4 linked regions of the Canis lupus familiaris genome follow. The protein of the gene in region 1 purifies or fractionates together with the protein of each later gene. This does not show direct contact. Links are inferred from orthologs where the notes say so. Each region holds a gene or a part of one and is shown in the gene's direction. Other genes may lie near its edges.

Region 1 (7,166 bases):
TTCCCTCCTTATAGGTTTCATATCACCAAAGGCAGATTCTCTTGCTGCTCAGCCTACTACCACAAGCCCAGTTGTTTATACAAGACCAGCAATAAGTAGCTTTTCTTCTAGTGGCATCGGGTTTGGGGAAAGTTTAAAAGCTGGATCATCGTGGCAGTGCGATACTTGTCTACTCCAGAACAAAGTTACAGACAGCAAGTGCGTAGCCTGCCAAGCAACAAAATTGCCGCCAAAAGATAATGCTAATAAACAAACTGGAATTGGAACACCAAGTAAAAGTGACAAATCAACTCTTTCTGCATCAGGGACAGGTTTTGGAGACAAATTTAAACCAGCAGTAGGCACTTGGGATTGTGATACGTGCCTAGTGCAGAATAAACCCGAAGCGATAAAATGCGTGGCCTGTGAAACACCGAAGCCTGGGACTGGTGTTAAGCGAGTCCTTACGTTGCCTGCAGCCTCAGAGAGCGCCGTGACTGCGGCTGCTTCATCGGCCACCTGCACTGTGACCACTGCTGCCTTAGGGTTTGCAGATCAGTTTAAAAGGCCTGTGGGATCTTGGGAGTGTCCAGTATGCTGTGTTTTTAATAATGGAGAAGACAGTAAATGTGTGTCCTGTGTGTCTGAGAAACCAGGTACGTGTATGGCTCTTTGGGAAAAGTTTGCTCATTATTTTGGTAGGACATTTAAATGTATTGTCTGCTAAGAACCACCTTAATGTTTGTAATGTGTAAGGATGAGCATTTCCTCATACATCTTCATTTGCCTCAGCTATCTTGAGGTCAAGTGACTTGCCTGAGGCTGGATCTGTGTGTTATCTTAGGTGGTGCATTAGCCAGCCCAATATATACTTGTACCTCTTTTTTTACATACATTTTTGTCAGAAACTACTTGTTCTTGGTTATCATTTTCAAAGTTGACTAATACAGAAGCTGAAAGATCTTAAAAGGAACAGTTGTTCCCAAAACAAACACCACTTTATCTCTGTTTTGAAGTGAGGACGGCAAGTGGTCATTCCAGAGAAGGTTTCACCAGGGAGTAGACAATACTGCTTTGTGAAAAGACTGTTGTTGAATGTTAATGGTGATACCTATACCTGTGTGGTCTCTGCCAAGATGTTGCAATGATAGTAAATTACTGAATCTAACTTGGCAGTAAAAAACATGGAGTTAGATTTGAGTTTTTTGTTTCTCTGTTCTAATTTGAAAAAGTTATTGGAAATTCACAACTGGAAAGGACTCTGCTGTTTTTATAATATATAATTATTTGGTATAGATATATGGTAACATAGGTACTAAGTAAAAAGTGTTAAGAATATCATCGGAATTATACTTATTTTTTTATTGCATTATTCATGGATATGTAGTTTTTATGTCTGCAATGGAAAGTTGATTTGTTAACCTGTATACCCTATGTGTGAACACAAGAGGTGAGCCTTATTTCTAATTCTTACTGGACATGTCCACAAGAATAAGATTTCAGAATCTTCATTCTGAAATAACTTTCTTTTTCTATGTGGCATTCCTCCTCCTCACCTAAAAAAATAAGTAAATAAAAAAGCAAGCCTTTGCTTGTGGAAGAAACCAAAATTAATTCTGAGTTGATTGGGAGAATAAAACTGAGTTAGAAAGTAAATTCCTTCCACAAATAAAGGAAGCTCAAAAATTTATTCAAGCAGTCAAGCTTCAGTCTTGTAAATGATGAACCATCATTATAAGCAGAGGAGTGATCCAGTTAAATTTGTATGTTTGACAAATTGCTTCGTGGGTTTTTGGAGGATAGATTTGAAGGCAACAAAATTTGGAGACCAGAGGGCAGATGAGGATGTATCAGGAGTACATGTGGGCAAAGATCATGGCAATGGAGATACTAAGGGAGTCAAATCAGGATGTAGAATAATACATGGTTGATTTGAAGGTGTGAAGTTGGCACATAAATGCAAAGCCTTTAGATACATTACACATGCATGTTCGGGGCTGGAAATACAAATTTGGGAGTCATTAGGCTCTAGTTTTCAAATAAGAGATGGGAGCAGAGATGGATGTGAAGTGAGGGACTGGCCTAAAACTGAACTCTGTTAGCTTACGGGAACTGGCAGGAACGAAACCATTCTGTTAGCTTATGGGGAGTGGCAGGAACAAAACTTTGGAACAGTTAATATTGTATTTTATTTTATATTATTTTATTATTTTATTTTATTTTTTATTATTTTTTATTTTATTTTTTTATTTTTATTTTTATTTCATTTACTTTTTACTTTACTTTTTAAAGATTTTATTTATTCATGGGAGAGAGGCAGACACACAGGCAGAGGGAGAAGCAGGCTCCATGCAGGCAGCCCGACATGGGACTCAATCCCGGGACTCCAGGATCATATGCCCTGGGCCGATGGTGGCACTAAACCACTGAGCCACCCGGGCTGCTTAATCTTTTAAAGGAGGGACTGGGGAGGAAAATCCAAAACTACATGGCACTGATTTTGCTTCTTAGAAGAATGGACTTCAGGGAATGAGAATGGAGGCCTCAACAAGTTATGCAAGCAAGAGCTGAGGGCCACTTGACATAGGGCAGTGCTAGTAGGTTCAGAAAGGGAATGGAATGGATGGGAGAAACATGCAGAAGGCAGAGCCATCCAGCCTCGCTGACCAGCTGGCCAGGGGCACTGCAGCTAAGAGGGAGACCACAGAGCTGAAGCTCAGGTGCGCTGGCCACAGGTACAGGGTAGGAAGTGGTTTTGTTGGTGATGAGACTTGTGAGGACAGTGGACCGAAGATGGAACCTCAGGAAGCAGTTTTCTTGGCAAGAGAGAGAGCATGACAGTGGAAGAGATACCAGGTAGTTGGGAGAGGTGACATGGAGAACATGTAGAGATGGCCAGAATGGATGGCTCCATTTGTAGTAACGCACTTGCTTCATGATGGCTTTGTGGAGCCGTCCTTCCCATGCCACCTCCACTCCCTACAAACCCGCTAGTTCTGCATAAAGATTTAAATGTCACCTCTGTAAATTGGTTCTTCTCTTGCCCCTTAGTCATCTCTTCCTTCTTTTCTCATTTATCACTTTGCATTTTGGTGATGGTGCTACTATACATTTGTTTTGCTTTCCCCCTTTTTAGACCGTTAGCACTTTCAGAAGTTAAGCAGCATTTCATTCATCTTTATATCCTTAGTACTGTGGTATATTATGGTACTTTTAGTGTCTGTTAAATGACTGGGTTCTAACCAATGGCAGGAACTTCTGTGCCAAAATGATATTTCGAAGGCAGAGGCCTGGCCTTTGAAATTAATGTGGTCTGTGGCTATGTATTTTATGTGTTAGGATATTGCCTATAATTTATATGTTAAAATGCTGTGCTGTTTGAAGAGATTTGACAAAAATTCTTAAGGACAAAAAAAAAGATTCTTAAGGACCTTTTAGTCTCTGATTTCTCAGCATGTTTTTTTTATTTTTTTAAACCACAATTATTCACATTTTGGGTTAAGAGGGAGCTCGTCACTAGACATGGTGAATGTGAGCTGCTTATTTGTAAGATTAAAAGAAATCTGAGCTATCTATACTGTTTTTAACAGTGTAAAGTTTGTATTTCTGGCACTTTGTCTTAATAGGAAACACTAATTGAACATATAGACTTAATGGTGCCTTAAGATAGTGACATAACATGAATTAGAATTTTTATGTGTTTCCTCACTATTTTTTTAGGAAGTTTGGTACCTGCTTCAAGTAGCAGCACTGTCCCTGCCTCTCTGTCATCTGGAAGCTGCCTGGGGTTAGACAAGTTCAAGAAACCCGAGGGCAGTTGGGACTGTGAAATCTGCCTGGTGCAGAATAAAGCAGATGCTACCAAATGTGTGGCATGTGAGAGTGCAAAGCCCGGAACAAAATCTGAGTTTAAAGGTAAGGCATTGGTACAGTACCTCCTTGTACTGCCATTTTAAAGTGAAATATTTGCAAACATGTTCAATTTTAAAATTGCTCATTCTCTATTGAAAATTCATGTAAAATGAGATAATGTCCTGGATACTTTTAGCTCAGTTCTCAGAGTTACTGTAAAGATAAGTGATTTCAGTGTCAGCAGTGAGGTATCTTTTCTGCAGCTGGTAAGGGGTTATTCTGTCTTGCATTGACTCGGAGAGAGTTGCAGATAATTTGTTTTTAACTGTTAACAAACCTTTGGCTTCCTGACTCTTATCTGACTGGGAATTTATGCCCCGAGAACTTTGTTGTAAGTAATCTAGACTTGGGCTTTGGTTTCCCAGAGAATGTCCCAGAAAAAGAATTCTCTTCATATTTTGTTCCATAAAGGAAGAACTTCTAAAAACAATTCATTCTAAACTGCCTCTGGAGGCCAAGTTTTTCAAGTCTTCATAGTCCTCTGTGACTTACTGAGTATTTCATATGAGGTACAATTCACTCAAAAATTTGATACAAGCCAGGAAAGAGATTTTAGATCTGAAGGAACAGTCAGAGAGAGAGATGAGAAACATTATAATCTGTAAGGGAGGAGGCCTCTAAGGTGGAGACCATGAGGTCATTAGAAAAAGAATGCCAAGCTTCATCAGCTTGTAACCATGTCCTGGATAGCGGCTTTCAAACATTGAGTGGAAACCAGTCAGTAAACTTTTACATTGTGACCTACCACATGCACATGGTATTTGTCTATATGATTGAAAGAAAAGTATCACAAACCAGTATTTACCCTTTAGTATGTTTAAGTCACCCTGTTTAGATTCTTTTTCATTTTAGAAGAAAAATGCTGGTTGGAACCCACTAAATTAATCACATGGCTAAAGAGACACACAGCTGGTTTGAAAATCACTGCATTTGTGGGGAGGGGGCACCTGAGTGTCTGACTCTTGGTTTGTGTTGGGGCTCTGCACTGAGCATGCTATCGACTTGAAGAGATTCTCTCTCTCCATCTGCCCCTCCCCTGCACCCATTTGTGCCCTCTCTAATTCTCTCTCCTAGAAAGTAAAAAAAAAAAAAAAAAAAAAAAAAAAAAAAAAAAAAAAAAAAAAACCAAAACACTGCATTTGGGTGTTTTAGAAGATCACTACTTTCCAGTCCTCTTGAGGTCATTATGTAGCCGTTTTTCTTTCTTCTTTACCTGTTGTACTGTAATCACCATAACTTCAAATCTGTCTCTCTGAGGCAGATGTGATAACAAGTTAATTACCGTCTCTGGCCCCTTCATTTTCAGCTTTCTGTCTAATATGACTGAAGATATTTAAAGACCGTGTGGAATACTGCTTGCTTCTCAAATTCTGATAATTTTTCAGTTAAGTTTCTTAGGGAAAGAAAGGAATGGGTCGTCTCTAAAGGGGCAGAGTTTGAAGATGATAAGAGGGCTTTTAAAGCTTGGCTGTCATTTGTCTCTATACTTGGGTAGGCAAAGTAATGGATAAATATCTTGACCCTTGAATGATTCCTGTTTTGAGCCAATCAGTTACTTCATTTCTAGTTTACTCAGCTACATTGAAGTACTAGGAAACTAAGACTTTAATCTTGTCAACATGTTATTTGTCTTTTTAAGTACTGGTTCTGTTCACGCAGTTCTTTTGGTTCTTTGATGGTAAAGTTTTCTTTTTTAATGTTTGATAACAAATTTATTCACAAGATTTCAAACTCTAATTATGACAGGATTCACAGTGAAAAGTCTACCTCTTGTTCCCATTAGGTTCATTTTCCATCTTTCCTCCCCCACCAGAGGTAATAACTGGTTAGTTTCTTAAAACTCTTCCAAAGTTTCTTTATGCATATGACAAGCAAATATTTTCTTATTCTGTGTATTCTTCTTTCCCTCTGTTTTGTTAGAAAATGTTGTATATCATACTGCCTTTCTGCTCCCTTGATTTTTATTGTAGATTAGCTTGGACACATCTTTGTTCTTCATTCACAGCTGCCTGGGATTGCATGTGGCATTTTGCATGTTTGTGAGTTTATCTTCAAAATAAAGACTTAGGGGGAAAAAAAGTTAAGTAAAGACTTAGGATGTAAGGACAATCTTCTGGCTGGCTAGGCGGTGTCCCCTCCTCCCCTCACATCTCCACATACAACCCTTCCCAAGCTGTGTGCTCAAGGGTATACGAGTAGTTGTGCTTCCCTGCTAGGACCTCCAGACAAGCTATCAAGGTCCGTTTGTAGGAAAATATAGGACAGTAAAGCTTCCAAGGCTCCAGACACATCCAGATGAGGCCCTGCATGTGGCAGTCCGCCTTTCTTTTAAATAAATAAATACGTACGTACATACTTAGCTGTAGAATTGCTGGGTCAAAGGATACGTGTGTTTGTAATTTTTAGTAAATACTGACAGTTGCTTTCCTTGAATTTTGTACTAATTTACGCATCTACCTGTAATGTATAAAGTGTCTGTTAGTTCTAGACTCCTCACCAACACTGTTTTATCAAATTTGTTTGATCTTGGCCAGTGTCAGGATGAAAAGTGGTATGTCAGTATGTATAGTTGTGAGGACTAAGATGTGATTCTCCTGCTGAATTTTGGGCAGCTGGTTCATGTTTTATGGCCATTGCTGATAACTCTTCAAAGGCCTTTCCAGAGTTGTTATTCTTTTGTCTCTTTGTTTTTCAGGGGTACATTTTGTTTGAGAGGATAACATTAATTCGATGTCTTTTATATTTTGAAGGCTTTGGCACATCTTCCTCATCTTCAAACCCAGCAGCTTCATCCTTCAAATTTGGTATCCCATCATCCTCTTCTGGGCCTTCTCAGACTTTAACAAGCACTGGAAATTTTAAGTTTGGAGATCAGGGAGGCTTCAAAATAGGAGTGTCTTCAGATTCTGAGGCTCCAAACTCCATGAGTGAAGGCTTTAAATTTTCTAAACCAATAGGAGATTTTAAATTTGGAGTTTCGTCTGAGTCTAAACCTGAAGAAGCTAAAAAAGACAATAAGAATGATAATGATTTTAAATTTGGACTTTCTTCTGGTTTAAGTAATACAACTTCGTTAGCTCCATTTCAGTTTGGGGTGTCTAATCTTGGACAGCCAGAAAAGAAAGAGGAAACACCTAAATCTTCATCTGTAGGCTTCAGCTTTGGTACAGGTGTTATTAACTCCACACCTGCTGCTACTAACACCACAGTGACCTCCGAGAATAAGAGCAGCTTCAGCTTTGGAACCATAGAAACCAAGAGTGTTTCAGTGGCTC
Region 2 (7,732 bases), on another chromosome or scaffold:
CAGTAAAGTAGGTAAACCAGTATGTCTGAGTATTTATTTACCGAACATAAAGGAGAAAATGATCCAGCTTGGGCAACTATAAAAGTACTCAGAGATTAAGCAAAGTGAAAGGGATTTTTGAAAGGCAGAGTTCAGAAATACTGTCTCACATCTTTGGAGAACCATTTCGTAAATTTTATAAGGAGCGTCACTAAACATGTAGCCAACTTCAATGGAGGTAGGGAGCTCCGCACCCAAACTGCCTGAGTTATAGCCAGTTTAAAGCGGTCATTTCCATAAGCACTGAATTCCACCACATAACATGCAATTCAGCTAAAGTGCTATTGTACACATCTTTTATTTGCGTTAGAAAGGCATCAATCACCTCATGCTACAATATGTAATTAAGAAGTAAATGTACTACTTCGCTTAGCCTCACAAGACAAATATTGTATTACTGTAAGAGATTTTGTATTACTAAAGTTGTGATTTTAACCAGCTATGTTACAATGATAAATACAGTTGATCCTTGAACAACCCGGGAGTTAGGGTCACCAACACTGCCCCTCCCCAGCAGTCAAAAATCCAAGTATAACTTTTGACTCCCCCAAAACTTATCTACTCGTAGCCTACTGTTAATTGGAAGGCTTACGGAAAACATCAAGTCAATTAAAACGTATCCTGTATGTGATATGCATCGTACACTGTACTCTTACAATAAAGTGAACCAGAGAAAAGAAAATGTCAAGAAAAATACAATACTATATTTATTGGAAAAAACCTCACACGGTTCAAGTCTGTGTTGTTCAAGGGTCAACTGTATATATGTGAAAGGCTACCACTACTTACCTAAGCTATCTGTGTCCCTTATGTGGTTAACAACCTACGTATTATAAAGCAAGTTATCTAGTACTTGTACTTTGGTGTTTAAAAAACTGTTCAATTTATAAGAAGGCACTAAAAAACATACTGGAATGAATGAGTTTCACACAGGCAGAACCAAATATAGAAATTCACAAGCTATTGATCAGGAGGGAGCTCAGGAAAAGTCTGGGATAATATTTTTCTCAATGGAGAAGACGGGTTCATTCACTGGTAAGGAGCTGGGTGCCTGTAATGTACTAAGGATGGTGAAGCAGAGGTGAGACTGGGGGCTGGGAGGTACACAGGCAGGTAGGTGGCTGGAAAGGTTTAAGTGATGAGTTTGTTTATTTATTGAAGATTTTATTTATTTATTCATTCATTCATTCATTCATTCATTCATTCATTCATTCATGATAGAGAGGCAGAAACACAGGCAGAGAGGGAGAAGCAGGCTCCACGCAAGGAGTCCGATGCGGGACTCGATCCCAGGACCCCAGGATTGCGCCCTGGGCAGAAGGCAGGTGCTAAACCGCTGAGCCACCCAGGGATCCCATGATGAGAGTTTATTATTATTTTTTTAATTTTATTATTTATTCATGAGAATACTCAGAGAGGAGACAGAGAGGCAGAGAGGCACAGGCAGAGGGAGAAGCAGGGTCCATGCAGGGAGCCATAGTGGGACTCCACCCAGGGTCTCCAGGGTCACACCCTGGGATGAAGGCAGGCACTAAACCACTGAGCCACCTGGGCTGCCCCTGTGATGAGAGTTTAGAACAGTCACTGTGAGGTATGGGAAAGCTGACCTGGGACAGAAGGAAGAGACCAGAGGCCACGTGTTACTGGGCACCAAACAAATGTAGAGCCTCCCACCCCCTAACAGCAGGCATTCAGTGGTTGTGGAAAGGGACCCTGGGCTGAAACTGAGACCTGGGCCCTGGCACTAACCAGACGGATGCTCTGGCAAGTCATGCACGATCCAGAGGAAGCTCTACTCCAAGTTCTCTTTTTACTGGTAAAAACAAAAACACTAAAGAGCACGCCACTAAAGATCGTGCAAGAGGGGATCCCTGGGTGGCTCAGAGGTTTAGCGCCTGCCTTCGGCCCAGGGCCTGATCCTGGAGTCCTGGGAACGAGTCCCACATCAGGCTCCCTGCACAGAGCCTGCTTCTCCCTCTGCCTGTGCCTCTGCCTCTCTCTCTCTCTGTTTCATGAATAAATAAATAAAACATTAAGAAAAAAAAAGATCGTGCAAGAACACACGGTTACTAGTCACACACACACAGTTGGCATGATTCAGTCCAATCCACAAAGACTGTGCGAAAGACAAACATCTAATACAGTTCCCCGGCTGGGTATTTCTTTTTCCTTTCTAGCCTCAGGAAGAGAAAAAAAAACCAAACAAACGAAAAAAATCCAAACATCTGGCCACATCTACCTTCTGGATTCTTGTCTTGGTGTGAAGTCACCATCACAGCAGGCAATAAATCTGGCTTTATTTTTAAACGTCCAGCGCGAGCGCCACCTGCTTTTAACCCTTAATGTGTGCAATCCAGCAGGATAGGGGTCGTGGACACACCGATCCAAGGGTGGGCGTTTCCGGGCAGGGCTCCTGAACACAGGAGATGGTTGTGGGCAAGCTGGTTTTCCACCTGCAAGGATGCACAGACCTTGAGAAGTTCCGACCCTAAATATCCGCCCCCGCACCCCCTCCGAGGCAGGCGTCCTAACTAGCTCGCGATGGCCCGGGCAGGTGCACGCCCCGCGTCACCCCGCGTGCCCCGCACGTGCGGGGATGCGCCCCAGTGTTCCCGCGAGAGCACGAGGCCCAGGGCGTTAGTTCCGCGGGGGCGGCGCGCGGGCGGACCTGCGGGTGGGTGCTGCCCTGGGGCGCGACCCCCGCCCACGGGGCGCCCACGGCGGCCGCAAGCGCACGCGGGCGGGCCGGGGGTCCGTGTCTCCCGCTCCGCGGCCGGGGCCGGTCCTCCGGCGTCGGCGGGCAGGCGAGCCGCGGGGAAACACGGTGGCGGCGCCGAGCGCCCCGAGGTCACTCACGTTTCCCGGCCGCCGCCTGTCTCTCTGCTCAGCGCCGCGCCGCGAACGCCCCGAGCCCCGGCCGCGCTCCCGTGCCGCCCCGAGCGCGTCGCACACCCGCCGGGCCCGGCCGTAGCGAGACGCGGCGCGCCGCCGACACGTGACCACCGCGCGTAGCCTCCCGCCGCGGGCGCCGGCTCCCCCGGCGGGGGCGGGGCGGGGGAATGCACGCATGCGCGCGCATGCGCGAGACGGGCGCGCTCCTCCCGGCGACGGTTTTTTTCCAGGCCGCAGAGCGCCTGCGCCGCGTGTCGCTCCACGGCCGGCGGAGGGAGGTCCCGCGGGCCGCGGCCGGCGCGCCTGCGCAGTGGCTGGACGCGGGCGTTTCTTTCCTCCCTTTTTATAGCGTCGGGTCGGGCGGGGTAGAGCGGACTTGTAAGATGGCGGCCCGGAGCCCGCCGGCCGCGGCTCCTCCGGCGGCCTCTGGCTGAGCGGACTGCCCTCCCCCCGCCGCCGGGCACAGAGAGGCGCGGCCCCTGGAGGACATGGTGCTTGCGGCCCGGGGCTTGCTGACCACCAAGCTCTCGGAGAACCCCGGCGCGGCCAGGCGCGCTCACCCCGGCCGGCGGCCGCCTCATCCCCGAGGCCCGCGCCGGCGCCCGCACCTGCTCGTGTCCCGCAGCGGCGCCCGCACCTGCTCGTCGTCCCGCAGCCGGCTTGCACCGCGCCCGCACCCGGAGAGGGCCCCCGGCGGGCGCCCGGCAGGTGAGAGGCGGCGGCGGCGTGAGCGGGGGGCGGGGGGCGGGGGCGGCGAGCCCGCGGAGGAGGCCGGGTTCCGGCTCGGGATGGGGCCTGGGGAGGAGGGACCTGGGGAGGCCGGGGGTACCTGGGGGGAGGGACCTGGGGTGGGGGGACTTGGGGAGGAGGGACCCGGGGAGGAGGGACCTGGGGGGGGACCTAGGGAGGAGGGACCCGGGGAGGAGGGACCTAGAGTGGGGGGGAGGGGGGACCTAGGGAGGAGGGACCCGGGGAGGAGGGACTTAGGGTCGGGCGGAGGGGGGACTTGGGGAGGAGGGACCTGGGGTGGGGTGGGGGACCTGGGGGGGAGGGACCTGGGGTCGGGGGGAGGGGGGACTTGGGGAGGAGGGACCTGGGGTGGGGTGGGGGACCTGGGGGGGAGGGACCTGGGGTCGGGGGGAGGGGGGACTTGGGGAGGAGGGACCCGGGGAGGAGGGACCTAGGGTGGGGGGGGGGACCTAGGGAGGAGGGACCTGGGGAGGAGGGACCTAGGGTGGGGGGGTGGGGGGAGATGGGACCCGGGGAGGAGGGACCTGGGGTCGGGGCGGGGGGGGGGGGGGTACCTGGGGAGGAGGGACCTGGGGTGGGGGGGAGGGACCCGGGATGGGGCCTGGGGAAGGAGGGATCTGGGACGGGGAGCTGGGGTCTGGGTGGGGGGAGTGAGACCTGGGGAGGAGGGACCCGGGGTCGGGGCCGGGGCCGGGGCCGGGTTGGGGTCGGCCCGGTGCGGTGACCGTGCGGTGACCGTGGTGCGGAGCTGGCCTGGGCCCCGGCCGCCGGGTCGGGTCCCCCCTGGGGCTTCCCCTCGGCGGTCTCCGGGCAGGGACCCGCTGCCTACGCCGGGGCCTTGCTTCCCTCCGCAGTCCCGGGCTGCCGGTCACCCCTGTCCTCTGCCCCGTTAAGCAGTTTTGAGACTTCGCCTTCCGCAGCCTTCCAGTCTCCGGGCTCCGCGCCTCCCCCCCCCCCCCCCCCCCACCTTTTCTCTTTTTCTCTCTCCGTCAAGTATGGTCATACCTGTTCTCGTCTCAGGGTAAACTGATGTCTGAAGTTCAACCCCGAGGTGGAGGCAGCACCTGGTGGCAGAGACCACGGAACACTATCAGGCACAAATAATAGTTTTCTCCAATTACGAGTACTCTCAATTTCTTATCAGTACTTCATACCTAGGAATCATTTTAAAATTTGGTGCCTCTTTAACCACAAGCCCTAATTTTTTTTTCAAATCCTTTTTTTTTTTTTTTTTTTTTTTTTTTACAATTTTGTTTTTAAGTAATCTGGACACCCACGGCGGAGCTGGACCTCACAACCTCGAGGTGGAGAGCTGCATGCTCCACCAGTCAGCTAGCCAGGCACCCCTAAATGCTTAACTGTAGCCAAAACTGAAGACTCTTTGGTGCTGGGCTTTGTTCTGAGTACTTCCCAGAGATTTTTTTCTCCTCCTCTTTTTTCATAAAAAATATTATCTGGAGCATCCTACTTTGAAATAGAATACAGATTTGCTAAAATATATTTTATTTTATTTTATTTTTTTTAAGGTTTATTTATTTATTCATTCAGAGAGAGCAAAGAGAGAGGCAGAGACACAGAGGGAGAAGCAGGCTCCCCGCAGGAAGCCTGCTGTGGGACTTGATCCCTGGTCTCCAGGATCACACCCTGGGCTGCAGGCAGCGCTAAACTGCTGAGCCACCGGGGCTGCCCACTAAAATATATTTTAAAGCCTGGCTCATAATTCTCTTTTTCTACCCTGTGCTTCATACATTATTGGGGAAAAGTAGTATTTTGTAGCCTTTGCTTCTAACAAAACTTGTGTCTGTAATAATGTTTATTAAGCCCTTCCTCTGTTCCAGGCAGTGTTCTGAACTAAGTTTTCAATTTATCTTCCTTAATTTTCCCAACGCCTTCGTCTTCTACAGATGAAGAAAGTGAGTCATAGCAGTTTTAAATGACTTGCCAGAGGTTTAGCAAGAAAATGGCAAAACCGAGATGCCAGCATCTTGTAGTATTCTCTAAAATAAGTAGGGCCCCAGATCAACCAGCCACTTGCTGGAGCACCTGCTGTGAGCTGAGCCGCAGATTTGGGGCAATGGGAGTAGACCCGGAAGCAAAAGGGAGATCCCTGCCCTGCGGTTAGGTGGCCAGTAGTCTGGGGGAGCAGCTGTTTGGTTTTGGTGGTTGTACTCCCCTGGTTATCTTTCATTTGTGGGCCTGACTAGATGTGACAGTTTCATTACAGTTTGCACTTTCAGCTCCACCCCCTTTTTGCCTTAACTCTTAGCAAAAAGGACTCCTTCAACTTCTCGTCTCTTCTGCCCCCTGGTGGAGGTGTTAGTTACTGACTAGGGAAAGAGTCCGCGCAGAGACCAGGCCTCTCAACAGTGGAAGTTCAGTAAGGAAATGGGTCTGAAAGGGTTTTGCTTGCTTGTATCTGAATGACCAAGATTAATGGCAAAATCTGACCAGGTATTTGAGGGGGAGACCTTAAAAAGAGGGATTTGCAGATAATGGCTGAGTATCCTTCCTACTTTGTGTTAGCATCGTGGACTTGAAAGCCATTTATTTTATAATCAGGGAAAAAACCATGTACATCCTTGAATAGAAAAGTTCAGACATTATTAGGATATTATTAAAAGCTGAAATGCCCAATGTAGTTACGCTTACAGGAGGTCAGATATTGAAGGACTTTGGAATGTCAATGTCTGAATTTTATTTCATAGATACTAAAGGGAAATAGGCAGTGTGTGAAAGTGTATCTTAGTAATCATAAAATTCTAGGAACTGACTCTGGTGGTTTGTGGTGTTGAGACAAGAGAGTGGGTAAAGACCATCAGGAGTCTACACAGGTTTCAGGAACTCTGAATGAACTTCCCACTTGCCCAGGACAAAGTGGGAAATGGAGGGTTTTTTGGTCCATTCAGCTGGTGAGTTAGAGAACAAGCCAGCACAGCACTTACAGTGGAGCTCTCTATTGGTTGTTGTGCTATTTTTGCTGTTTAGAGCAAAGAATATATGTTAGGATCAGAAAACACTGCAAGTTATAAGGGCTGGGTACTAGCACCCTCTCTGGTTAGGTGCGTGTATCTACAGAGAGAACAGTTGGTCCCTGTCTCCTCCTCTTCCCTGGGACATGGTGGCTTTAGAGGAGTTAAGCTGATGGCTTATTCTTTTATAAGTTTTCAGTGTTAACACATGTATATTAATTACATTTTAAACTTTTACATGATGTTCTAGCTTAGCAGTATACAATTTGGGGTAACTAAATGTTCAGTCTTGGGAAATTTACGTACTCAATAAAGCAGAGTACTCGTGCTGTGAAAGTATTTCCAGTGCCTTATTAAAATTCTTATCTAAGAATGAACTTCTTTATTGGATCATCTTTAAGAGCATTTTAAGTTTTGCCTGTAGCAAGACTATAATTGTAATTTGCATAGAGTAAATTTAGCACTTGTTGATTACGTATACAGTACTTAAGATTTCACATTTTTAAAAGTGTTTTAACTTCTTTTAAATGGAGCTGGTTTAGCGTTGTTCAGAAAGAGTGCCAGTTCCTTAGAAGACCTGCATTGCCTACTTCCATAATTCTTTATTGTATATGTAACACTGGGAGCCTAATAACACTGTTGTAAAGTTTTCATTAAGGCACTTCCCCTGATATCAGGAATTTTTTTTTTAAATCTCGTTTCATGCTAGAATGAATTTTTTAAAAATTTTTGTAAATTCTTGGGGTGCCTGGGTGGCACAGTCAGCTAAGCTGTCCAATTCTTGGTTTCCTCTCACGTCATGACCTCAGGGGATCAAGCCCTGCATTAGGCTCCATGCTCAGTACAGAGTCTGCTTTGGATATTCTCATTCATATTCTCTCTCTCTCTCTCTCTCTCTCTCTCTCTCTCTCTCTCCCCCTCTCCCCCCTCCCTCTCTCTCCCCCTCCTTTCCCCTCCCTCCCCCTCTCTCCCTCTCCCCCTCTCCCTCCTCCTCCCCTCCTCTCTTCCTCTCTCCCCCCTTCCCTCTCTCCTCTGCCATTCTTGCTTGTGCTTGCTCACACCATCTTTCTCTATCATATAAA
Region 3 (7,243 bases), on another chromosome or scaffold:
GTCTCTCATGAATAAATAAAAAAAAAACTTATAAAAAAAAAAAAAAAAGGATGGGCTCGGGGAGTTTTACTGGGGAAACTCATTATCTATGTCAGCCAGAGTATGTGTTCCCATTTTTTTCATGTGCTCTCTGAGATGATCATCTTCAGAAGTTCTGGGACAGGGCCAGTTAATGACATCTGCAGCTAATGAACAAACTAAACCACCAGGAGCTCCGTTTAGAATGCTAAGCATGGAGAACAACTAATATCCATATTTGACAGATTTCCTCTTGGATTTTTTTTTTGGTGGGAAGAAATATTTTTCAAAAATGCCAGAAGGTGGGATCCCTGGGTGGCGCAGCGGTTTGGCGCCTGCCTTTGGCCCAGGGCGCGATCCTGGAGACCCGGGATCGAATCCCACATCGGGCTCCCGGTGCATGGAGCCTGCTTCTCCCTCTGCCTGTGTCTCTGCCGCGCTCTCTCTCTCTCTGTGACTATCATAAATAAATAAAAAAAAATTAAAAAAAAAATGCCAGAAGGTGGGAGCACCGGTGTTCTCACCACCTGGAGCTACACGGTGGTTAATATGTTGTCCTGTTTGCTTCAATTACCTTCTTTTAACAGAAGAGAGGGAATCTTCTGTGACTGTTCTGCTCGCCCCATCATACCCCTTCCTACTGTCTCTCGAAACAACAGCTTCATGATTCCGTGTATATTGTTGTAATCAATTAAAAAAATTACCTACATAACATTCAAGAACTAATATGTATAAAAGTGTACATAAATGGTATTGTACCGTACAATCTCTCTATAAAACTACATATACTGTGGACTATTTAAGACCATTATCACATCTTTCTTGAACTTCCTTCTTTCTCAACATTATCCTTTGAGATCTAACCCTGTTGATACAGATGAACTTGCTTCCTTTCAGATGGCATACTGTAATAGTTAAATATTTGTAGTTTCCCTACCAATGGGTATCTCTGGAAGCTGCATTTTTTGTTGCCATAATGTTGTAGCGAACGCTTGAGATACTGTCTCCCTGTGCATATGTGTGAGTTTAACTCCAGAGAATCTCTCTAGAAGTGGAAGTTACAGGGTCGCCAGCTCTCGGCACTCATGTTTTATCAGTTCCTGCTTTCCAGAGAGGCCAAAGCAATGGTCACACCCAAGCAGCATAGAGATCTGTTTGGTGTTTTCCTGAGGGTCCTGGAGAGCAGTGGGATTGGAGTTCCCAGCAGGCAGATTCGCCCAAGTGTTGTGCCCAATTTGCATCACTTGTGTTCCCAATAGGTTTGCTTGCAAAGGGCACTGAAGACTAAGTGGCTAACTCCTCCTCCGTCATCTGGGTTCTCTGCGCTCTGGGAAGAGTCCCCACGGTGGAATCCTTCCTGAGCAACCAGACTACTCTGATGGGGCCACCAGCGGTACTACTCTTGCCGCGAGTGCGGATGTTTGCTTGCAGAGGGGGCCGAGAGGATCTGGGTTATGGAGAATCTGTGGCTGTCCACACAAATGCCAAAAACTGGCCCTAGATTTAGGGTAAGAGGTTAGAGGACTCCACTTGGCCCACTTCCTTGCTGAGAATGAATAGTAGTTAACTGTCAACACTTGCTGAGCTTGTGGCTCATCTTACTTTCTGCCTACACCGGCCCTACGAGGTGGGCATCCCCAGCAGCATGTGACTTCTGAGTGCATGGATCTCGTCTGCATTCTTGCCAGCTTTATTGTCTCCACAGTCTGGAACCTACATACTCATCGATTGCATCCAAATTTGTAACTGGGATGCGAGCCGCCAGGTTTGAAAACACGATTTCGTCATCCTGTGCGCAGGATACAGTCACAAAGGCTGCTGACCAAGGAAATGCTTTAACAAAAGGGTGGCTGCCTTTTAGGGTGAGAAAAAGCATCGATTTTGCACCCTTTACCCCCAAGTAAGGTTTTGGCTGGAGCCAGGGACACCGGGTGTGGGCGGTGGGGGGGCCTGAAACACAAGGCAGGGGCCCGCGGGGTCCAGGTGAGAGGAGGGGGTGCGGCGGGGGCCCAGGGCAGGCTCTGCGGACCGGGGTCTGGGAGGAAGGGCCGGGGCCGGGCCGGGCCGGGGGCGCAGGAAGCGGCCGAGAGGGTGATGGAGGCCCGGGGGAGGCAGGTGGCAGATGGACGGGCGGCTCCGGGAGAGGGTGCGGGTCGGAGCGCCCGGGGTGCCGCGAGAGCCCACAGGGGCAGGGCCACAGGGGCAGGGCCCAAGGCCTCCGCACGCGCCCGCTTCCCCCGCGGCGCACCGTCCCGCGCGCCCACGGCGAGGCCCCACGCCCGGAGGCCCGGGGCTTTGTGTCGGCCGCTCCCCGCGACTTTCCCGCCCAAGAGGCCTGCGCTCTCCTCCCAGTGTCGTGGCGCGGCCGCAGCTGGGCGCGCCGCGTCGGCGTCGGCGCATGCGCGCGCTGGAACCCGCCCTTGGGCCGGCGCACGTGGCCCCGCGAGCCGGCGTGCGTCCGCGCGCCCGCGCCGAGCGCGACTGCCGCCCCGCCGCGACTCTCCCCTCCGCGCCCGGCCGACGGGTGTGGCCGGCCGAGCCCGCGGCGTGCGTGCGCGCGCACGCCGGGCCACGTGGGAGCGACGCGGCGCCGTTGCCCCGCCCCCCCCGGCGCGCGCCGGCGTCGGCTGCGTCTCCGGGCATTTGAATTGCGCTTCCGCCATCTTCCAGCCCTCAGTCAGACGGGCCGGAGACGCTTCTGGAAGGTAAGGCAGCGGGGCCGGGCCGGGGGCCGCGGGGGCCGCGGGGGCCAGGGGCCGGGGGGCCGGGGGGCCGGGGGGTCGGGGGCCGGGCGGGGGCCGGGCGAGGGCCGGGCGAGGGCCGGGGCCGGGGCCGGGCGGCAGTCGTGCGGGCCGGGGCGGCGGCGGCGGCGGCGGCGGGCTCTCGCCGTCCCCTGCCGTAGAGACCGAAGACCGTGGCCGGGACGCCAGTCGCGGTGGGCCCGGGCGGGCGGCGGCCCCGGGGCGGCGCGGGCCGGGGGGCGCGCGATCGGGGCCCCGGGCGGCCCCGGCCTCCGCCCCGCGCGCCGGCCTCCGCCCCGGCCTCCCGGCCTCCCTCCCCCACGGGCGCGCCGCCAGACCCGCCGCCGGAGCAGCGCCGCTCGCCCGCCCGCCCGCCGCCGGGAGCGCGCCGCGGCCCCCGCCCCGGCCCGGGCGTGCGCGCGTGGGGCCCGGCCGCCGGAGCCCCTTTGTGGGCCCGGGCACGTGGGGCGGGCCGGCCATGTGGGCCCGGGCCCCGCCGCCAGCCGTCCCACGTCTGTCTCCCCGCAGCACCAGCGCTATGGCTGCCCAGGGAGAGCCCCAAGTCCAGTTCAAGGTGGGTGGTGCGCGGGGGCGGCCGGGGGGAGCGGGGCGGCGCGGCCCGGGGGGCGCCGGGGCCTCCCCTCCCCCCCCCCGCCCCCCGCGACCGCGTCCTGTCTCGTAGCTGGTGCTGGTTGGCGACGGCGGCACCGGCAAGACCACGTTCGTGAAGCGTCACCTGACGGGTGAATTCGAGAAGAAGTATGTAGGTACGTGGGGGGAGCCGCGGGGGCCCCCGGGAGCGGGGCGCGAGCGGACCTGACGGCCGTGCTTGTGTTGCAGCCACTCTGGGCGTGGAGGTCCACCCCCTCGTGTTCCACACCAACAGGGGCCCCATCAAGTTCAACGTGTGGGACACCGCCGGCCAGGAGAAGTTCGGCGGGCTCCGGGACGGCTACTACATCCAAGGTGGGTGAGGGCGGGCCGGCGGCTGCCGCGTGCTGTGTCATGATGGGCGCAGCGCCGAGCCTGGAGCCTGGAGCCGGGACCCGGAGCGGGCTCCTCACCTAAGACAATGAGCATCCCACGAGGTGCTGCTGTGGCTGCCGGAGTCGTTGGGGCTGGTTGGGGGTTTTTTTGCTTGTTTTTTTCCCTCAAGGGCACTGTAGAGTGGCAGATAAAGACAGGAAGAAAATGTCATCTGGGATCTCTTGTGATGAAAGATGATTGGGAGTCCTTCCATATTTTGCATCCTTTGCTATGTTACAGATACACAGCTTTTTTTTTCTCTTCTTAAAAAGTGTTTAATTAGGAAACTCCTAGACTGTACATACTTCGGTTTGTTGTCTCAATTATATTAGAATTGTGTTCCTCATAGGTCAGTATGTAGGCCTGCGTGTTTTAAGGCAGAATAACATACTCTTTTGTGTAGTTTAGGATCATTTAAAGAGCAGGTTCTGAGATCCTCAGAATAGAGGAGACCAGTTGTCTTAGGGTGCTGCTCTATCGGTAGTCTACTTGAGATTCTGGGATGGGACGGAATTAATGAAGTATTACGGGAGAGATTTGATAAGCTAGGCTGGTAGTTCACACTCACACAGAAAATGAAACTTTAAATCTTGTTACGTATTACAGTGGTTGGAGATCCTTAAACTTGGAAGAGAGAGACATTGGGGTGTAGTGAGTGCAGAAGCAGAGGTAGCCAGATTGGGCCTGTCCCCTAGCCCGTGCTCCTTAGCATTCCTCATTTGTGCAAGAAGTCATACATGTGTAACAGTTTTCCTACATCTGTTTCAGCCCAGTGTGCCATTATAATGTTTGACGTAACGTCAAGGGTTACTTACAAGAATGTGCCTAACTGGCATAGAGATCTGGTACGAGTGTGTGAGAACATCCCCATTGTGCTCTGTGGCAATAAAGTGGATATTAAGGACAGAAAAGTTAAGGCAAAATCTATCGTCTTCCACCGAAAGAAGAACCTTCAGGTATGTTTTTTAAAACTTAATTGTTTTTCTCTAAGATGAAACTACGGTAATAGATCCACTAAAGGAAATTGTGTCTGTGGTATGGATGGAAAAACTATTTTTAGTTTTAAACATTTCAATGATCCTCAAGAAGTAGATTTTTAAAAACTTATTTTATTTTATGGAACAGTACTATGACATTTCTGCCAAAAGTAACTACAATTTTGAGAAGCCGTTCCTGTGGCTTGCTAGAAAACTAATTGGAGACCCTAACCTGGAGTTTGTCGCCATGCCTGCTCTTGCCCCCCCAGAGGTGGTCATGGATCCAGCTCTGGCAGCACAGTACGAGCACGATCTAGAGGTAGGTGGCAGATGGGTCCGTCAGTGGGATCTCTTGGGTGTCCCGTGTCCTGACGGCTCTAACCCATGGTGTCCTGACGTTGTGTCTCTGTCCAGGTTGCTCAGACGACCGCGCTCCCGGATGAGGATGATGACCTGTGAGAAGTGCAGCTGGAGGCCAGCGTCAGAAGTCTAGTTTTATAGGCAACTGTCCTGTGATGTCAGTGGTGCAGCGTGTTTGCCACTTTTATTATATAGCTGAGCAGAACATGTGCTTAATCTTTGGGATGCTGAAGGAGATGAATGGGCTTCGGAGTGAATGTGGCAGTTTAAACAGTACCTTCATTTTTTTGGACCTGCATACTTAGCTGTTTTGGAACGCAGTTGTTTCCTTCCTGAGTTTCAGATAATGAGACTGCTACAGTCCCATCACAATATCCAGTGGTGAAATCTCGTTTGTCACTGTCATTCCCATTCCTTTTCGTTTAGAATCAGAATAAAGTTGTATTTCAAATATCTAAGCCAATGAACTCCTCCCTTGTTTGGTAAGCATCTTAAAACCACTAACAGGAAAAGTTGTGCCACGTTACTGTTGAACTGGCCTTTGCTATTCTCCCTTAATTTGAATCTTTGCAGGTTAAGTTCTTGTCTATTTGTACATTTGGATCCTCTCACACAGGTGACAGGGCAGACATCCGCAGTATTCCGTTTGGTAGATTGTTAGAGGGGTGAGCATCCGTGGTGAAGCTAAAACGATGCCCGTCGCATCTGCCTTCAGACTGGGTGGTGTCACCTGGGGAAGAGCTTTGGACTTCTGTGACCTGTTGGAACAAAACTACTAGACGTTTCGGATAGGCATTTTAAGAATTACAGTTAACATTATTTTGTGACCAGTAACCGTGCTCTCATGTAGGGATGTTCAGAATCTGGTAGAACGATAACAGATGACGGTGGGGACTTGACAGGAGTCTCATTTGTTAAAAATGAGTGTAAGTTATGCATTGATTTGATTTTGTTTTAATGTTAACGTCTAATGTGAAGCTGGTACTCTAGAAAGATGTTCCACGATTACCCGCTGCTTTCAAGTATTTCTGAGTGTTAAAGATGCTGAAGAGTAAGGATTTAAGTTGGGCATCTCACAGCTTTGATGCTTTTTTTTTTTTCTGAAGGATTTTTGTGGCCAATTCAAAGGCACGAACACTAAATAGAAAAGTAGATCTTAGAATGGCTTCTTGAAACGTGAAACATTGCAAAGGTTTCGTTGGATCAAACCATTTATCTTTGTATGATTTACACATTTAAGAACGAGTGGAGTCTGTCTTCAGTTTTGACCCCATGGATGCTATACTGTAGCAGTTAGGAGTCTTAAACTATTATGCTCACTTGAGCACTGCTATGGTTGTTTACCAAAGTTCCTTAGATGTCCATTTCTCCTTAAATGGTTACTTTCTTACCTAAAAAGAAGGTAGGAAGGGGTTGCTTAAATATATGGAAAAATGAAATACAGAGGGTAGAATTTAATAAATTTCAATATTGAGTAAATGTATCAATAGATGTACTTCAATTACTGTAAATGTTACACTATATTAGGTTCAAAACCAGATTTTAAGTGACTTGAAAAGATCGTTCCCATCATTGGGATGAAACCTTTTTCAGATACGTAATAGGAGGCATATGTGTTTGTGACCTGTGTGGAATGCAAGTGTGTGTGACGTGACTAAATCTGAAATGTAACTGTTAAATTTGGAAGCTACTTCACTTACCTGTTGAAAATGGGATGGGAGAGAATTCACAAGTCTTACTGAAAGAAAAATTTGCTGCAAAATATATTGCTTCTTTTTGTCTGGATTTTCTGAATCATCTCTAGTACTCCCTGGGAAACGCTGGATCTTTAGCAGGGATTCCCTTCGTGTGAGGGTGTGTTTCTCTGCAGGTTATACATGTGGGGGATGCTTCTCCCTCCATTTATTGCAATCTGATGTGATGGGGGAGCGTTGAATTGAGAGCCTGTGCCGTGGCTCTGTTGACGTGGACAAGGACAGGTCTGTCCAAGCACAAGCAGTGAGAGCCAGCACAGTTTGCTTCATGTCATGTGTGGAGAGTTCGTTCCTTTGGGTGGCGTCTGTCCTGTTTGGTGACCTCACAATGAAGCAGAATTAATACAGAGCACTGGTAAGATGAGGG
Region 4 (7,623 bases), on another chromosome or scaffold:
ACAATGAGATATTTTATTTCATTTTAAAAAAAGATTTTATTTATTCATGAGAGAGAGGCAGAGACACAGGCAGAGGGAGAAGCAGGCTCCACGCAGGAAGCCCGACGCGGGACTCGATCCCAGGACAGGGATCACAACCTGAGCCAAAGGCAGATGCTCAACCACTGAGCCACCCAGGCGTCCTGAAGTATTTTATTTCAATTAAAAAATGGGCTCGTTGTGGGAAATATCAGAGAGGGAGACAGAACATGAGAGACTCCTAACTCTGGGAAACGAACAAGAGGTGGTGGAAAGGGAGGTGAGTGGGGTGATGGGGTGACTGGGTGATGGGCACTGAGGAGTCACTCCATGGGATGCATACTGGGTGTTATGCTATACATTGGCAAATCGAACTCCAATAAAAAAAATATACAGAAAATAAAGGGCTCATCGTGGAATACTGTTCTTAGACCAACCTGCTTTTTAAAATTTTACAATGGGGGGATCCCTGGGTGGCGCAGCGGTTTGGCCCCTGCCTTTGGCCCAGGGCGTGATCCTGGAGACCTGGGATCGAATCCCACGTCGGGCTCCCGGTGCATGGAGCCTGCTTCTCCCTCTGCCTGTGTCTCTGCCTCTCTCTCTCTCTCTCTCTCTCTCTCTCTGTGTGTGTGACTATCATAAATAAAAGTTAAAAAAAAATAAAATTTTACAATGAAATATTTTCCTATATCCTTAAGTATTCATTACACGCATCTACATGTCTTCTTTTAATGTGAATATACTACAAAGCTATCATTGTACATCTTTCTATAGTCTTCGCTATTATAAACAATACTATCTATATGATTTTTGTTTTTTTCAGATAATTTCTAAAAGTGAATTGCCAAGTTTAAAGAGCATGTGCAAGTTATAAGGCTTTTTGATAGATTATCCTCTCAAAAGATGGTACTAATTTATAAAAATCTCACCAGAAGTGTAAATATCAGCACGTATTACTCCACAGCCTTTCAACATGAACTATTTTCATTTTTTAAAAAACTTCCAACTAGTTAAACAGGCAAAAAATACTGATTGGTGGTTTGATTCGTATTTCTTTAATTACTAGTGACATTGAAGATCTTTTCATGTGGTCATTTCTAGTCTTTGACTTAATGCTAGTTCATGCCTTCCACATTTCCATTTTTTTTTTTTTCCTTTTGGGGTGGCTTGCTTTCTCTTGCGGATTTTCTTTAAAGAGTACTATTTTATTGGAAATACTGTTTTTCTTCAGCTTGTTTGCTTTCATTCTACGTTTGTGTTTTTTGCCATCCATGAATACAGTCATGTCTCCACTATCTAATTCTCACAAGCGAGTACTTTCAGTAATTTAATAGAGGCTCAAAAAGGTGACAGAGATAGTGAATAGCAGAGGCGAGATTTAAAGCAAGTCCCATTTAATTCCGGAGTCTATACACTCAATTACTACGTGAGTGGTTGTCAAAATATCCCCAGACAGCAGCATCACCCACACCGGGAAGCCCGTTAGACGTGCACATTCCCAGGCAGTGGGTGGGTGGGCAAGCTCGAGCGGGAGACGCGGCTCCACACCATCCCTCCTCCTAGTCTCCTGTAGAAGGAACCACGCTGTTCAAAATAAGGTCAGAGGATAAATAAGGAAATGACTTAAAAAAAAAAAAAAAGGAGATGGCAGCCACGAGGAAAATGTAGCAGCCCGGGTGGTGATACCGAAGTTCTTGGGTCCCCGCTGTCCCGGCCAGGCTGGCCCCGGTGGCCCGACTCAGCTCGGCGCTCCGGGATGTCGCGGCGGCGGTCGGTGCGCCGAGTGACTCCGGGACGAGCCCTCCTTTACCCGGGGGCGAAGGGGTCCTCAAGGAAAACAGGAATCCAGTTTTTGACACATGGGTCGTGAGGAGTCTGCAGGACACGCAGGTCCCATTGTCCCCCCGGGAGCTGCTGCAGAGGGCAGCTTCTGAGCCAGATCCGGGCTAAAGACCTGGACTCTGCTAGCGTGGATGAGACGGCGCGGAGTTGAGTGGGGAACGACAAACCTGGAGAAGGACAAACATAACCCTGAGTGTGACAGCACTGGCGGCCTTTCAGCGTGGACCAGGGATCCGACACTGCAGCTGGCGAGAGGCTCAGGAGACACCAGCACACGGAGACGCTGGTGTTCAGGCTGCCGGGGGGCCAGCCCCACCCCTCGGGGTCCAGAGGGCCCCGGGCTTTCCAGTCTCGCTTCCCTGAGGCTCCCGACACCCGCCGGCCCCCGAAGGCCCCAAAGGAGTCACCTCTCCGACCACGCCCCGCGGCCGACTGCGCCGCTCCACGTCATTACCGCGCGCCCTCCCACCGTCCCCACCACACCCCGCGCCTCGGCGCTGCGCTTTTACGTCTGACCGCGCGCTCTGCCCCCGCCACCCTACAAAGCCCGGAGCTTGGCGCTGTGTTTTTACGTCATCACTGCGCGCCCTCCCGCCTCTGGGTGTTCAAGCTCCGCGCGCGAGCAGAGCTGCAGGCCGCACCGGCGGGATCGGCGCGTTCTGTGTCGCCTCTCCCTTCCGTCATGTTCCCGGCCGTCTCCTCTCCGCGGACACCCGGGCCCGGAACCCGGAGGGGCCCGCTAGGCGGAGTCGGGCCAGGTTCCACGCCCCGGACGGCGAGCAGGAAAGGGCTGTGCCTGGGGTCGGCAGTCAGCTCCCCGGTGGTCTTTTCGCCCGTCGGCCGGCGTAGCTCGCTGAGCTCGAGGTACGTGATTGTCCCCGGTTCGGTCCGGTGATGCGCAGGCTTACGTGCCTCGCGGGCCTGCTGGGCCAGTGTCTCCAGAATCCTCCGGAACCGGGGGCGGCGGGGAGGAATGCCAGAAGTTTGGGGGAAATAGACCTTCGCCATCTTTGCGGGTTATTTCAGCCTCGCTTTTAATTCGTCAATTGTGCCTTCACTTTTCACTTTTCATGGAAAAGGTCTCTTCTACCTCTGTGTAGAAGGGAACAGTTGGATTGCAGTGAGTGGTTGCCTGCCGCCTCCTTACTGCCCCTGTGTTCCGGTGCAAGTCAGTCATTCTTTTCATCTGTGAAATGGCGATAGTATTTGACCTGAACCCGCTTCACTCAAGGCCAAATGAATCAACATGAAATTCCTCGACGATGGTGGGAATGAGCGTCTCCAGCCTAGGAAAATCGTATAGTGCCTGATATAATTACTGCCGTTAATATATCTGCTGATTGATAATTAAGGGACTTTAGGCCACACAAGTTAATTTTGTAGCTAAATTAAATAGGGCAAAGGTTATCCGTAGCATTGACATAAGAATAGTTACCAGAAAAAAGCGTTTCACATTAGTCCACATATCTGTTAAATCATGCTCCATGCCCCCCTGTCATAATTAATTTAGAACTTTAGAAGGTAGCATGTTTTAGAGTAGTTTCCTCAGAATTCGTCTACCAAAAATGAACTTTTTTTTTGCAAGAAAACTGTGATGCTGGATTTTGAATTTATAGTTAAAATTTATCTCTGAATGTTTGCAATGCTTTAAAGGAGAAATGGTTTTTAAAAACTACACTGCGTCTTTGACTTTTTGCTTTTGAAAGTGCTCTTCGAAGTGGTGATCTTGTCAGTGTTTTCTACTTTTGAGAAAAATCAGGGAATAAAAGCTGTACTCTATTTAATGTGTTTTAAAAACTTTTCTTACTTTCCAGTGATCATTTATTTTTTTCTTAAGATTTATTTATTTATTCGTGATAGACATGTGGCGGGGGGGAGCAGAGACACAGGCAGAGGGAGAAGCAGGCTCCGTGCAGGGAGCCCAATGCAGGACTCGATTCTGGGACTCCAGGATCATGCCCTGGGCCAAAGGCAGGTGCTAAACCGCTGAGCCACCCAGGGGTCCCCTCCAGTGATCATTTAAAGAAAAATCTTTGTTATAACGCTCTGTCAGGAAACAAAGCTCATTTAATCCTCACAAGAGGGAATAAATTTTATACTGGTAACTTTACATTATTTTTGAAGGTTAACAAGATGAGAAGGAGACACAATTTTTTTTTTTTTTTTTTTTTAGATTGAGAGACACAGAGGGAGAAGCAAGCTCCCTGCAGGGAGCCCAACATGGGACTTGATCGCTGGTCTGTAGGATCACGCCTTGGGCTGAAGGTGGCCCTAAACGCAGGAGATACAATTTCGACTGCTGTATCTGGTGTTGAAGAACAGATAACAGCAGATATTCAGGACCCTATTTAATTTCTTGATTGTACAAGTCTAGTAGATTTCATAAAGTTCTATAGCTGATGAGGGCAAAATGGGTGAAGGGGAGTGAGAGGTACAGACCTCCTGTTACGGAATGTGTAAGGCATGAGGATGAAAAGTACAACATTGGGAATATAATCAGTGATATAATAGGGTTGCATGGTGACTGTAGTTATACTTTTGAGCAGAGCATAGTTTCCAATTACTGTATTGTACATCTGAAACTAATGTAACATTGTATATCAACTGTACTTCAATAAAAAGAATTCTGGGGGATCCCTGGGTGGCGCAGCGGTTTGGCGCCTGCTTTTGGCCCTGGGCGCGATCCTGGAGACCCAAGATGGAATCCCACGTCGGGCTCCCGGTGCATGGAGCCTGCTTCTCCCTCTGCCTGTGTCTGTGCCCCTCTCTCTCTCTCTCTGTGTGACTATCATAAATAAATAAAAATTAAAAAAAAAAAAAAAGAATTCTGGAGCTGATGAGAGCTTAAGGATGATCTAACCCAATGTTTGTAAAGCTTTTTTGACCACAGTGTAGAATAAATTCTAGATTATATTCTTTTTTTTTTCTAGATTATATTCTATTTCATTTTTCATAAATGTTGATTGAGACCTTCAAAATGACCCACAATTTGGAAAACACTGATCTAGTCCAACCTTTGTATTTCACAACTAAGGAAGCAGTTATAAAGGGTCTAAGCAAATAGAGCATGCATCTGATTGCTAGAGCAGAAGAGTCCGAAACCAAGTTTTTCTAGATCCTGTCAGTCTTTTTTTTTTTAATGAAAAATATAGTTAATTGCAGTAGACATGAGCCAAAGCAAGATCTTCTCTTCATGTGAAAATAGGTATGTAAAGATCAGAATAACACAATTTTAAGTTATGATTCAAATAATATGGTTTCTTTTCTTTAGAGGGACACCTACACGGATATTGCCACACCACTGTGTAACTGAGTCTATGAACTATGATGTGAAAACATTTGGATCTTCTCTTCCTGTTAAAATAATGGAAGCCTTAACATTGGCTGAAGGTGGGTATCATTTTCCATTTGCCTTTATTAGCAATTCAGAATGCAGCCTGGCTCTAGCTTAGATCGAAATTTGTGCTTTCTGTGATATTCCTTCACTTAAATCGGGCAGAAACAGATAACATATTTGATCTTCACTGTAACTGAAAAATAAAATAAATTTCAGAAGCAGAATGAGTCTATTCTTAGCACAATCATGTTACTTCTTTTATGGCTTTAAACATTGCATATGCAAAACTCAGTCCGATTTCAGAATTTGTGTGTATGAAGTTAGCTTTAAAAAAAAAAAAAAAAACAACCACTGCCTCACACTATTGGGTGTAATACTGCAATCAGGTCAAATCTTACTTCTATTTCTGGATCCTGTGTAGTATCCCAGAGGTTTTATGTACACATTTATGTTATCAATGTGGTACCTGTAGAAGATTCTCTTGGCAGAGAATTAGAGTGGAAATTTGGAAGATGCAGTCACACAAGCATCAAAAAGGCAACACTAAGGACGAGGGGTTGGGTGACTGGGGGAGCAAAGTTCAGAGCATCCTCAGTGATGAACCCAAGTCATTTTTGTTTATGATTCAATTCTAGATTTTTGTGATTTTCTGGAAGTGTTTTTCAAACTGTAAGTAGTGACTGAAGTCAGTTTAGTGTCTCATGGCCAGCACTTAAAAAAACAGAGTGCATGATATCAGAGTGCATTTCATATAATAATGTTAGATAATTTTTTTTAAGATTCTGTTTATTTATTCATGAGAGACAGAGAGAGAAAGGCAGAGACACAGAGGGAGAAGCAGGCTCCATGCAGGAGGCCCGACATGGGACTCGATCCTGGGTCTCCAGGATTAGGCCCTGGGCTGAAGGTGGCGCTAAACCGCTGAACCACCCAGGCTGCCCTGTTGGTTTTTTTTTTTGTTGTTAGAGAAATACTGATTTTAATTCAACATAAGGTAAACTCTAGGCATCTGTCATCTTTCAGCCTAAGAATTAGCAAAACTGTTGAAACAAGGCACAATTTTCCTCATATTTGTTACGTGGCTCCAGTTACAAAAATTTTTTTTATGAAAATGTTAAAACATAAAAATAGAAGTCTGATTTAAAAAAAAAGGTATAAAACAATCCCCGCAAAACCTGTTAATGTTGATCCTGATTCTACAAAACAGCACCAGTAAGAAGAATAAAAGTTGTTAAAAACCATTACGACAGCATTTCTGAAATCAGGCTGCCCTGTTTTATTTAAATTGTATTTGAATGTATTGTGATACAAAGTGTGTTTCATACTGTGAATGACAGTCAAAAAAGGTTAAAGTACCCTATTCTAGAAAGGAATATTTCTCATCAACTTGAAGTTGCATATCTTTGTCTATGAGTCCTTGGGAATTCAGTTACGGTGGTGTTCAGACAACTAAATTTTCACAAACCTCTATTATGCACTGTTCTTGTTTTAAATACATATGTTATATTTTTTTTTACTCTTCAAAAAATTTCAGCTTAAATTGTATTTAAGCCTTTTAACATATTCCTGGTTCATGCCACCAGGCTTGAACAAATAGCACAGATAGTACTATTAATAGTACAGAGCCTCAAAGGAGAGAATCCCTAGAAATTAGGATGTGCATATGTAAACTATAAGAACTTTTCCCTATATAGAAACCTACCAAGTACTGTGTGTTAAATCAGAGACCTCAGGGGTTTGCCTGTAGAGTATTTGGAGCTGCTATATTGCTTTTAGGAAAAGAAAATATTGAGCATTCTAATTCAGCAAAAAACACACACTTAGCTTAGGCATGATTTAGTATTGTAGCTTGTACGTTATTGATGCCTTTTGTTTTGCCCTCTGTACCCTGCTTTTAAGCAAAGAGCAGAGCTCAAGTTAATTAAATTTCTAGGGCTAACACATTAGTTGGCCACTAACGCTTATGACAGCAACATACTAATTTAGTTTTGCCATTTAATATGGAATGTAACCCATGAGACACCTGGGTGGCTCAGTTAGTTAAGCGGCTGGCTCTTGGTTTTAGATAAGGTCACGGAATTGAGCCCTGTGCTTAGTGGGGAGCCTGCTTTAGATTCTCTTCTACTCCTTCTGTCCCTCCCTCATGTATGTGCTCTCTCTCTTTTTAAAATAAATAGCTTTTTAAAAAATATGGAATGTCACCTTTGATATTTATATATGTTTGCATATAATGATTTATTATACTTTTAAAGAAAGTATTTTAAAATCACATTCTTTTGAAGGAACAATTTTTCCTTGAAATTTTTTTATATATTTAATGGGAGATTATTTGTGTTTCCATATCAAAATAAAATTATAGATGTTACTAAATATTACAGAAAGTAAGATACCTGTTTATAGCAAATATTAAAAGATAGTAAACCTAA

What was found.
Region 2: the proteins of NUP153 (region 1) and NUP50 purify together in Homo sapiens (affinity purification with mass spectrometry; 8 studies listed by BioGRID and IntAct, counting the BioPlex papers as one, with this or other methods). This does not show direct contact. The link is inferred for Canis lupus familiaris from reciprocal best matches to the Homo sapiens genes NUP153 and NUP50.
Region 3: the proteins of NUP153 (region 1) and RAN purify together in Homo sapiens (affinity purification with mass spectrometry; 5 studies listed by BioGRID and IntAct, counting the BioPlex papers as one, with this or other methods). This does not show direct contact. The link is inferred for Canis lupus familiaris from reciprocal best matches to the Homo sapiens genes NUP153 and RAN.
Region 4: the proteins of NUP153 (region 1) and NUP133 purify together in Homo sapiens (co-immunoprecipitation; 3 studies listed by BioGRID and IntAct, with this or other methods). This does not show direct contact. The link is inferred for Canis lupus familiaris from reciprocal best matches to the Homo sapiens genes NUP153 and NUP133.

Annotation. Positions count from the first base shown.
Region 1 is NC_049256.1:17,837,190-17,844,355, reverse strand, and holds part of NUP153 (nuclear pore complex protein Nup153), read left to right. Parts: intron 1-14; coding exon 15-635; intron 636-3,699; coding exon 3,700-3,894; intron 3,895-6,641; coding exon 6,642-7,166. UniProt on the Homo sapiens protein: Component of the nuclear pore complex (NPC), a complex required for the trafficking across the nuclear envelope. Functions as a scaffolding element in the nuclear phase of the NPC essential for normal nucleocytoplasmic transport of proteins and mRNAs.
Region 2 is NC_049231.1:21,794,436-21,802,167, reverse strand, and holds the start of NUP50 (nuclear pore complex protein Nup50), read left to right. Parts: upstream 1-3,516; 5' UTR 3,517-3,639; intron 3,640-7,732. UniProt on the Homo sapiens protein: Component of the nuclear pore complex that has a direct role in nuclear protein import. Actively displaces NLSs from importin-alpha, and facilitates disassembly of the importin-alpha:beta-cargo complex and importin recycling.
Region 3 is NC_049247.1:1,619,474-1,626,716, reverse strand, and holds RAN (GTP-binding nuclear protein Ran), read left to right. Parts: upstream 1-3,285; 5' UTR 3,286-3,297; coding exon 3,298-3,333; intron 3,334-3,441; coding exon 3,442-3,526; intron 3,527-3,599; coding exon 3,600-3,725; intron 3,726-4,553; coding exon 4,554-4,741; intron 4,742-4,910; coding exon 4,911-5,081; intron 5,082-5,176; coding exon 5,177-5,221; 3' UTR 5,222-5,235; downstream 5,236-7,243. UniProt on the Homo sapiens protein: GTPase involved in nucleocytoplasmic transport, participating both to the import and the export from the nucleus of proteins and RNAs. Switches between a cytoplasmic GDP- and a nuclear GTP-bound state by nucleotide exchange and GTP hydrolysis.
Region 4 is NC_049225.1:10,150,474-10,158,096, forward strand, and holds the start of NUP133 (nuclear pore complex protein Nup133), read left to right. Parts: upstream 1-2,430; 5' UTR 2,431-2,542; coding exon 2,543-2,724; intron 2,725-5,131; coding exon 5,132-5,250; intron 5,251-7,623. UniProt on the Homo sapiens protein: Involved in poly(A)+ RNA transport. Involved in nephrogenesis.